3 linked regions of the Callithrix jacchus genome follow. The protein of the gene in region 3 purifies or fractionates together with the protein of the main gene of each other region. This does not show direct contact. Links are inferred from orthologs where the notes say so. Each region holds a gene or a part of one and is shown on either strand. Other genes may lie near its edges.

Region 1 (3,652 bases), on a different chromosome or scaffold from region 3:
CAACACTTTGGGAGGCTGAGGCAGGCACATCATCTGAGGTCAGGAGTTTGAGACCAGTCTGGCCAACATGGCAAAACCCCATCTCTACTAAAAATACAAAAAATTTAGCTCGGTGTAGTGGTGGTGGAATCCCTGCCACTTGGGGAAGCTGAGGCACGAGAATCTCTTGAACCCAGGAGGCAGAGGGTGCAGTGAGCTGAGATCACGCCACTGCACTCCAGCCTGAGCAACAGAGCTAGATTCTGTTTCAAAAAGAAAAAAAAAAGAGAGAGAGAGAATGGAAGAATGAGAGAGGAGAGGAGAATCACTGGGGACAGCAAGAGAGTAGTTTTGTTGCAAAGGGAAACAAATATGGCAGTAGCTGGGAGGACTAGTGAGATTTATAAAATATTTTTTTAAAGATGAGGGAACTAATGTTTATATACCGAGGGGAATAATCAGGGGAGAGAGCAAAAAATTGTCACTGCAGGACACAAATGAGAACTGTCAAAGTGACATTATGAAGTAGGCAAAAGGGGGCAGGATCTGGTGCATGAGTGGAAGCACTGGCTTTAAATAAGAATATAGCACTTAAGTAGGGTCTTAATAAATATTTGCAGAAAGAACAAACTCTTGGGCTACTAAAACAATAAAAAGCGGCAAATATAAACAATAAACACTAACTTTGGTTTAACAGATGATAACAGGAAATCAGAAGTTCATCTGTTAGGTAACTTTTCCTACTTCTTTTGCCCTTGTTCCTTTGCCACAAACAATTCAATATTAATTTCAGTTCTCCTCTTTGACCAATAAATAACATCCAAATTTGTTTCTCTTCAAATAATAAAAGCTCTAGGTTAAGAAAAGAAAACACAGAACCAACTTACCATTTTCATCTACTGCAAGCACACTTGCTCCTTTTCCCAAAAGTTCCTGAACCACCATTGTTAGCCCATTTCGGGCAGCAACATGCAGAGGTCTAGAGGAAAAAACATGATACGTGTACACATATGTGCATGCGCATACACATACAAATACTACCTGGCTGTCAAAGAGCATTTCTGTCAAGTTTTGAAGACCAAGAGGTACAAACTCAAGATAACTAGTCCTAATAACAAAGATGGGGGCAGGGAGAGCAGAACATCTGTACAGTGTACTGTCACACCTGTCAACGTGTAGCTTGACATCAAGTTTAGCCATGGGTCCCATCAACAAGGTCCCTACATTCACCCACTTCTTTTGTTACTTTTCTTCTCAGACTCAACGTTTAAACAGATTTTACCATTGAAATTGCATTCCTCCATTGTTAAAAAATGAGGCTGGTAAAGACATAGACTATATATTAAAAATTGCAAATTGCAGTAGCACAAATTCTAATAGGCTTTGAAAACGGCTTACAAGCATCATGACTAATTTTTGGACCTTCAAGGGATCTGACTAATCCCAGAATGGGAAACAATAAGATTTTTATCTTTATCAAACCTCAAAATGGAATAGCAAAGGACAATGAGACACTAATGTAAGATTTCTGTTAGTCAATTTGGAGGTTGGCTACTCACATTATTAAAAACTTGATTCTTTTATTGGCTTACAGACACATATAAAGCTTTTTACTTCATTCATTGTTAGTTTCAAGTAACATATTACGGTTGATTTCCATAAAATACACAAAATAGTACCACCTTTTCTTGAGAAAAGTAGGTAGGTGGATTAAGGAAAAAATACATTATTGTCAATGTTGTAATAAAGTTTCAGTTCAAAAGCATTTTAAGTAATATGCCTTTCAGTTGTGATGATTTTAGAAATGAGTTTGGACAGTTGTAAAACTTACTGAAATTGCTTCTATGACTAATGATACCTATTTCAATAGTCACGTTTAAAAAAATTCATTTATCATTTTTATAATTATAGGTAGAAAAGTTTACACTAGACACCGACAGTACTCACGTTTGCAAGGCTGCGTTGGTTGCATTGATGAGGTTTCTATCTGTTATCTTTTCCAGTATTAACAAGGCACTAGTTTCATGACCCTAAAATTGTGGCAAATAGTTATAAAAACTTGGGCACCATTAAAGATAAATTTATACACCCAAAATCCACAACCCTAGTCCATATAATATGTACCCCACTATGCATATGCCATGAATTTTCCTGGCCAATATCTTAGTAGTTGCCAAAACACATCTTGGGAGTGAGGGTAGGAGAAGAGGACAAAATTAAGATTAAAGAAAGAGGATAATTATGCTTAGGTTTGTGTTCCAAAATAGCTTACTGTAGACTTCAATACGCATGGTGCCTAGTAAGTCAATAATTTTGTTCAAGAAATCTATTACCAGTGATCATTAGAGAGGTTTGGTCCTGAGTTGTGTTCATTTCAGTGAAGTCAAAAAACTTAATGACACTGTTATTATTAACAATAAAAGCATGTTCTTAAAATGTATACATACCTTGCTACAAGCCAAATGGAGGGCAGTATTTTTACTGTTATCTTGTAAAGTCAGATCTGCACTAGCACTGCTAACCAGCATCTCTGGGAGGAAAAAGTGCATCAATTCTTATGTTTATGAACATGTTTCTTAGATTACCAATAACTCACTGTAGAGAAATGAAGATACAAAGCAAAAAAGTCCCTCTCACAAAAACTTAAGTACAAGAAAAAGACTGTAATATGTAACATATATCTTCATACAGTTGCTTGAGACAATTATATTGTTATATAAGTCAGGCACACAAACAATGGCAATTAACATTTATTTTGTGACTATTCACTAAACTTAAAATACTTTTTATGCTCTAGATTTATAGTAATTTATTGAACCCTCACAACAACCCACAAAGTGATACTGTTATATTTCTCATTTTATAAATGAGAAAACTGAGGCATAAGGTCACTTAGCTGGAAGATGTAGGACTCACATTCAGGCAATGCAACTCCAGAGCCAGTGTTCTAACCACTATGGTACAGGGCCATGGTAAAGCAGACTCTTTAATCGGTAAGGGCAAACTAAAACTTGTATCTCTAAATGAAAATGTAGACTGCAAACAGGTACAAGGTTATAAGTCTTAGGAGTGGTAAGATAACTAGTTGAAGTCAGAGGTTTTGCGATCTAAGTTCTATGTAAGTAATATACATACTTAGGAAAATAAAATTTTACAGAACTTTCTTTACCAACTGTATTTGTTTGTCCATTTTCTGCAGCCATCATAAGAGGTGTTTTCCCGGTAGAGTCCACAGAATTGACTTGAGCATTATGGCTAAGCAGCAGCTGTAAACACTCGACATGGTCTGTGAAGGCAGCTGCATGGAGAGGAGTTCTGTAATAAAGAGAAATTGAAATACATGACTAAATTAGCATGTTATATACCCTGGAAAAAATATTCTTTTATTTATGACAAGCAGTTTTCAAGGGTTTACATATTAGGCTATAAAAGCACTGCCTGTATACAAATAGGCTCAATAGAGCTTACTGATTTCTCCCATAGAAATGTGTACTTTCAGTAATATAGAAGGCCTTAAACTAGAACAAGTTTGAAGTAAAGATTACAAAATTGCTAAAATAATATTACATTAAAGAAAATTTTGAAAGAAATCCTGACCGGAATACTGCCACCTATTATAACTGCTGGAATGTTTATTCCTATTTAGAAAACTTAACTTTGTTAAAATGATCTT
Region 2 (3,652 bases), on a different chromosome or scaffold from region 3:
TCAAATGAAAAAATACAAAACATTCCACAGAACATTTTCAGAATATACAAATATAAAAAGGCACTCTAACTTCATATTACAAGACAAAAAAGGGATGAGTTCTTCAACCAACACAACATATAAGCACAGCAAGTCGCTCAACAGTACAAAGAATAACGAGTACAGCAAATCCATTTGATGTTCTTGTTCTAATTTAATAATAAAATGATAAGTCGAGCAGTGTTTACTGCCTAAAGTACCAAAACATAGTATGGTGCCCTTTTAGTAGTGATAAATAGAAATCCCCTGAGCTATTTACTGTAGAATCATAGCAGATTTTAGGCAATTTGGAGATAGTAATGCATTTACCAAAGACAGGCAGACACTGGCAAATAAGTAAGAGCAATGAAACATGATCCCTGTGGCTGTGGTTAAAATACAGTCTAAAAATAACACTTAAGTAAAAGCACTAAGCAACTAAGACTCAGGTAAAAACACACCTTGTTTTTTCTTAGAAAGCCGTGGTGCAAACATAATTTTATTTCTAAGAGATGTCATCAAAACACAGAAATGATAGTTTTTAAAGTCACTTCTTAAAAAAAAATTAGTCTTGGGGGAAGGGAGAAAGAAAGCAAGAAAGAGATATCAATTGATGTAATGAACAGTTTGTTGTGAGCATGATTTCATTTTGTTCCTTTGTCCTCCTTCTATGAGTAAGAGAGTGGGAAAAAGTCAAAACGCAGCTCCATGGAGATAACGTCTCATGGTGAGTCACTGCTTTGCTGAAATGATCCTTGTACTCTCTGCTACTTGACAGGAAAAATGTTAACGCCGCTTTGCCATTAAAGCAGGCATTTCATTTCCTGCTTGAAATGCCAACTGAGCAAGATTTCCATTCACTTCTAGAAAAAGACACTGCAGCATATTGTGCTTTTTCAACACTGGATCGCTCTTAATTTTCAGTGTTTTGGTAAAGATAAGGTCATTATTGCTCGTTAGCAATTTATCTGCTTTTTAAAAATTCATCTTCTCTAAACAAACAAAAAGGATAGAAGGAGGGGAGCACAAGACCAGGAATTCAAAAAACAATGGTGGTGGTGCGGGAAATTTTCAGCAAAATTACCAGTTCAATAAGTCCTTTGAACAAGTTCTCATTTGTGAAGAACCCAACAGGAGTTTTAATTAAATCCAGGATATTAAGTAAGATTAAAGTTTTACAGCTAGATGAAAAATATAATACAGTTATCTGTCTTTGATCCAGATATAACAGAACACTATTTTTGAAATATCTCACATATCCTATAAAACAGAAATTTCCAGGGTGGAACTGGAACTCATTATAAAATGTCAGAGAGTCCTGCTCTAATTCGACACATTTCTTTCCTGTCTCTTCCTCAAGCAGAAAATTGCACTTGAGCTGGTGATTTTTATTTTTCCTCTTGGCACATGTGCCCACACACTGCCATCATTTCCCATTAGGTTACTGAGACTATGTGAGCTTTTCAGTGAACTTAGGGTAATTTCTGGATATTTCTTTGGGCTGCCTTTGTGTATATGATCTACTACATGTTTGAGTTTTTACCTCACAGAAGAACATCCAGACTGCAATGTCTTCTAAACTCAACTGGCTACAGACTATGGTAGCCCTCTCTAACCAATGCGGAAGAACCTGAGGGTCAGCTAGAAACCTTAGCAGTGGAAATGCTGGGTCGGCCTTAGGGCTTTTGGCTAGCCCAGGGTCAAATGTGTTTTTCCACTTTTGTTATTCTAAATAAGATACAAAGCAATTAAAATAGAGAACAAATAATGGATGTTTCCTTGCCATTTGTTTCACTTCAAATAAATATAAACACATTTACATCAAAAGTATATGGACATTTTCTCTAGTTTGGCAAAAAAACAAAACAAAACAAAAAACCATGGTCAACACATCATCAGTTACAAATGTTAAGCTGTCAACTAGAAATCTGTGTCATAAGAAATATAAAATACAACAAAGACTGGTACACAGAAAGAATACATTTTAACTCCATAGAAAACCTACTTCAGTTCTCACTTGCATTTTGAAGGAAAAGAATGTAAATCTTCTGTTTTAGACTGAAGCATTTTGGTCCTCATGTGTAGCTGAGCTGATGAACTACATACACACACACACACATATATATATATATATATATATACATGCACACATATATGTGTGTGTACATGTGCATAATGTTTAAAGAGTCTCATTCTTCTTTTTGTATAGCTGTTCCAGGTGTGGAACGGGGTCCATTTGACCTAGAAGCTTTGGCAGAAGGAGCAGACACAGTATTCACTATGTTGATTTCATCATCAAGCAACTGGCAATTGGCTTTACATTCTATATCACACATTTCTCCTTTCTGCTTTCACTTTTTTATTCCTTTTTACAGTCACACTTTTTACTCACATGGCATGACCTTGACTGAGAAGCTCAGTTTACTACTAATGAACAACGCTGATGATTCTGATGTTTTTAAAAAGTTAGTATTTTGATTTAAGAGGGAATTAACAAAGGGTAGTTTCATGTTAATTTTGCATATTGTGTCAAAGTTCTGGTGCAATATCATTTCACCTAAAATGTTATTAGATAAATTTGGGTTCAATCACTTAAGTGAAAATTAGTCACAGGCTTGTTAAAGGGAACACTGTGTTAAACAAGAAAAGCAAGTTCAGTTTTTCAATTCATCTGGCAACTTTAACAGAGATCCTCAGAAAGAAGTTCTGGATATTTAAATGCTTACTATAGAGGACTCTCTAAAAAGATTATTACAGGCATTATTTCTGAAGATGAACACCTTTACCTTTGGCTTCTAGTGAGGAAGTAAACATCAAAGTAAGAAGAGGTTTGAGGCATTTCCTATCTACCTCTTCCCTTCCCTCCCCAGGGACATGAATGTCACACTGATAGACTTCTGAGAACTCACTGCTAAATACATGAAAAGAAAAATTATTCAGAGTGAACAGCTGCCTCTCTGTTGTATTATCCCTGAAGAACAGGAATTAAATACATCTTTTATTCTTTACTTAAAATGAGAGGTAGACTTTCACAGATGTATCTTAGATCTAAAGAAAACGTGAAACAAAACCAAACTGAGGCCATCTGTGTGAGTGTTCCACCCAACAGCCTCACTGCCCTCCCTCGATTAATTCCTTATCTACTAACTTCTGGAAGCCCAGGCCCCAAATAATATTTGAATACAACATGAACCTGGAATTCAAGCTTCTTTCCCTTCCTCCAACACAGGTGATCAAGGAAAAGCTTCTACAGTCCAAAGTCAAAACGTTTCCGAATCAGAATCATTTTCATTGTACCCATCCTCCGAGCCTACGTTGTTACTGCACAGGCTAACCATGCTACCAAGATTGGAGAGGGTCGTCCTGCTCAAATTGTCTTTTTTTAAACAAACGAAGTTGACGGCCGTCATTGTACTGGAAGGAGAAAAAGGCATCATGGTAGCCAAAATGAGGGCCAGGCAGTCAGCCACGTCTTTGTTAGGAGCACAAGCCAGGGCCGGGGTATGACCTGGGCGTAAATGCAGACAAGGCAGTGGTTAGTTCTGGGGAGTCTAGAGGAGGAACGAGCATTCCACAGTACATCTCGGATGATCTCACAGGTGGAGATGTATGTTGAGTTAGAAATCATGCCAGG
Region 3 (3,091 bases):
CTCAGAACTCCCTCTCCCAGCCTTTCCTGGTGTCGTCATGCCCCAGGCTCCCTGCTGGTCACTTCAGCCCACCCTCCTTGGGCTGATCCTGGCTGCAGGGAACCAGATGGTGGTTGGCTGGTCTGTCCCACACAGCTGACTGACAAGGTGGTTTCTGGGGCAGGAGTGGAGGCAGCACAGACAGTGAGGACGAAGAAGAGGAGGAGGAGGAGGAGGAGGAAGACGAGGAGGGCATTGGCTGTGCAGCCCGTGGAGGGGCCACCCTGCTGTCCTACCCCAGCCCTGGTCCTCAGCCTCCAGGTGAATGAACAGGCGGTGTGGTCAGGCATCCACAGGCTGTCGGCCTGCTGCTAAGCTCATCCTCTGCTGCCCACCCCCCCACCTCTACCCCAGGCCCCGGCTGGACCGCCACCTTTGACCCAGTGCCTACGGATGCCCTGACCAGCCCCCGAGTCTCCGGGGAGGAAGAGCTGCACACTGGGCCTCCAGCCCCACAGGGGCCCCTCATTGTGCCCCAGGGCTTCCCCACCCAGAGCCTGGCCAGCCCTCCAGCTCATGATGCCCTGCAGCTCAGGTGAGAACCAGACGGGACGGGCTGGATGGCGCTGGTATCCCGAGGCCAGGAGGTGGTCATGGCCTCCCAGTTCTCTTGTAGGCTTGAGCGCTGACCCTAGCTGCCCCCTTGGGCTGCCTCTCTCGCCTGCCAGGTCTCAGGACCCCACAAACCCCTCAGCACCTCAGGAAGCCATGGACGGCAGCAAAGTCGTGGAGCCCTCAGGTGAGCCCCTCTTTGCCCTGCCCACCTGTGGCCTTGGGCAGAGAGAGCAGCCTGGCCAGCTCTGAGCTTGCTGGGATGCTGCGGCTGAGACCTCTCATCCCCCACAGCCCCCTGCCAGGCCTTGGTCAGCGTCGGGGACCTCCAGGCCACCTTCCACGGGATCCGTTCTGCCCCCAACTCCTCGGACAGGTGAGCAATGAGGTGGGGCTTACTGTGGGGAGGGGCTGGTATCAGGAGAAGTCTTTTCTCCTCCTCAGTGAGGTGGGCTTGGGTTTGTCTTGTCCCTGAGCTGCTCCAGGTGACCCTTGCAGGACCCCCAGGCCCAGCCTCATGTCATGCCCCAGCCCCCTGCACTCTGCAGGCTGGTTCTTCTCTTAGTAGCCTGGGATGCTCAGGGCCCCCAGGGTTGGAAAAGGCTCCCTGGAGGTTGTGAAGGATTGGGAGGGTGAGAGCATGCAGGAGACCCCTTGGGGCTGTCCCAACCGGCCTCGAGCAACTCCTCCACAGGGACAGGAACATGAAGGGAGGTGCTTGTCCTCTTGCCCAGAGCTGTGCAGTCCCTCTGCACTGAGCTAGCTTCGTGCTCGGGAGGCCCCTTCTGGTGGGGCAAGTGGCGGACACCCAGTGAGCCAACTGAAATTGTCAGGGGTGTGAGGGTGTCAGCAGGTGACGCTGACAGTTGCACCTGCCTCTCACCCACAGTGCAACCAGAGACCCCTCTACCTCTGTCCCAGCCTCCGGGGCCCACCAGCCCCCACAGACCACAGATGGGGAGAAGAGCCCAGAGCCTTTGGGGCTTACCCAAAGCCAGAGGTGAGTACCAGGGCAGCGGGGCAGGGCAGGGCAGGGCTGGCGGGCAGGAAGTGACCTCTGCACATCCCCTCCCTCCCGTGACAGTGCCCAGGCCCTCACACCTCCTCCAGTGCCCAATGGCTCTGCCCCGGAAGGGCCTGCATCACCGGGCTCTCAGTGAGTGTGGCTGCAGCCTGGGGCTGGGCAGGTGGGGCTGGGCCTGCTGGACCCTCACACGACATCTCTCTCTGTTTGCAGGTAGCTGCCTGGTGTGGCAGCAGCTGCCAAATCATCCGTCCTCCCATGGATCTCCCAGGGTGGGGGCAGGGCGAGTCCCATGATGGCCCCCGTTGCCCTCATCACCTGACCCCCCCACATTCTCTCCTTTGGACCCCCAGGAGGCTGGTGCCAGGGAGACAGGCCCAACCCAACCCCATTTGCACTGAGAATAGAAGTTTTGGAGCATTGCCTCCTAGAATAAAGATAAAGAGAGTCAAATAGAGAGAATGGAGAGAGAGAAATGTCTATTATATATTATATAAAGAGAGAGAGGGAGGAGAGGGAGGAGAGGGAGAGAAGGTGAGAACACCGAGCTGGGCTGGCGGCCCGAAGCACAGCTTCCCGTCCTGTCCCAGTGGGGGCTGGTGGTAGGGGTCCAAGGTTGCCGCCCACGTGCCCAGCCATCCTACGCTCAGGCACAGATGGCCATGCCCACACCCGGCCTTTCAGCTCAGGTCCACCATGAGGGACAGCCCAAGTGAGGGTGGGGGTGCCAGAGGGTCCCGCGTGGGGGCCGTGCCTTTGCCCAGACCCTGCACTTTCAACCAGGCCAGCCCGGCTCTGGGGAGCAGGGGCCTCCCCGGCAACACCCCCAGGGTCCCTGAGGGTCTGGGGTCCCAGCCCTGTTGCCAAGTGGCCTTGTCCAAGCTCCTTCCTCCCAGGCTGGTGTGAGTGTGTGTGCGTTCGTGCCGAGCTTCTATTTCATATTGCAAATATAAATAAAGGAAGACAGTTTACGATTCTGCTGGTCAGACCGTACATTCTGGGATGCGGGGAGGGCAGCCTGTGTTATCCCTGTACCCCAGCGGTTGGGGTACTCCTAACCCAGTCTGCCCCCACACTGTGTCCTGCCAGAGGGAGCCCTGTGGCTACAGAGGCCACAGGCTGGGCCAGGCACTGGCTGTGATGGCTCCTGCCAGGCCTACCCCACCTGTGGGCAGGGCCGAGGGTGGAGGATGGAAGCTGCCATCGGGGGCTCAAATCCCTGCTCCTACCCCCCTTTGGTAACCAAGCCCAGCATTGAGGCCGGGCAGTGGTGCCCAGTATGTCTGAGTCTTTGAGCCGGAAGGTAGAAGTGTAGGCCGGTGCACAGCAAGTGGAACAGGGGAGCGGTGCCAGGAAGCCTCTGTCTCGGCTACACCGGACCATGTGGGCCGGGTCATGAGGACAGTGTCCTCACTGCGGTGGCAGCTGGTTTGGAGGTCACCTAGGGCTGGCTCAGCTAGCAGGGGAGGGTGCTTA

What was found. The genes of interacting proteins can lie anywhere in the genome.
Region 1: the proteins of PPP6R1 (region 3) and ANKRD28 purify together in Homo sapiens (co-immunoprecipitation; 4 studies listed by BioGRID and IntAct, with this or other methods). This does not show direct contact. The link is inferred for Callithrix jacchus from reciprocal best matches to the Homo sapiens genes PPP6R1 and ANKRD28.
Region 2: the proteins of PPP6R1 (region 3) and ANKRD44 purify together in Homo sapiens (co-immunoprecipitation; 5 studies listed by BioGRID and IntAct, counting the BioPlex papers as one, with this or other methods). This does not show direct contact. The link is inferred for Callithrix jacchus from reciprocal best matches to the Homo sapiens genes PPP6R1 and ANKRD44.

What each region holds. Positions count from the first base shown.
Region 1 is NC_133518.1:54,471,406-54,475,057, forward strand, and holds part of ANKRD28 (serine/threonine-protein phosphatase 6 regulatory ankyrin repeat subunit A), read right to left. Parts: intron 3,295-3,652; coding exon 3,149-3,294; intron 2,575-3,148; exon of another isoform or gene 2,510-2,574; coding exon 2,427-2,509; intron 2,010-2,426; coding exon 1,927-2,009; intron 959-1,926; coding exon 867-958; intron 1-866. UniProt on the Homo sapiens protein: Regulatory subunit of protein phosphatase 6 (PP6) that may be involved in the recognition of phosphoprotein substrates. Involved in the PP6-mediated dephosphorylation of NFKBIE opposing its degradation in response to TNF-alpha.
Region 2 is NC_133507.1:117,936,818-117,940,469, forward strand, and holds part of ANKRD44 (serine/threonine-protein phosphatase 6 regulatory ankyrin repeat subunit B), read right to left. Parts: intron 3,527-3,652; coding exon 3,279-3,526; 3' UTR 2,267-3,278; coding exon of another isoform or gene 2,208-2,266; 3' UTR 1-2,207. UniProt on the Homo sapiens protein: Putative regulatory subunit of protein phosphatase 6 (PP6) that may be involved in the recognition of phosphoprotein substrates.
Region 3 is NC_133523.1:48,097,795-48,100,885, reverse strand, and holds the end of PPP6R1 (serine/threonine-protein phosphatase 6 regulatory subunit 1), read left to right. Parts: intron 1-163; coding exon 164-300; intron 301-393; coding exon 394-574; intron 575-707; coding exon 708-778; intron 779-885; coding exon 886-967; intron 968-1,480; coding exon 1,481-1,591; intron 1,592-1,675; coding exon 1,676-1,747; coding exon of another isoform or gene 1,748-1,751; intron 1,752-1,828; coding exon 1,829-1,832; 3' UTR 1,833-2,589; downstream 2,590-3,091. UniProt on the Homo sapiens protein: Regulatory subunit of protein phosphatase 6 (PP6). May function as a scaffolding PP6 subunit. Involved in the PP6-mediated dephosphorylation of NFKBIE opposing its degradation in response to TNF-alpha.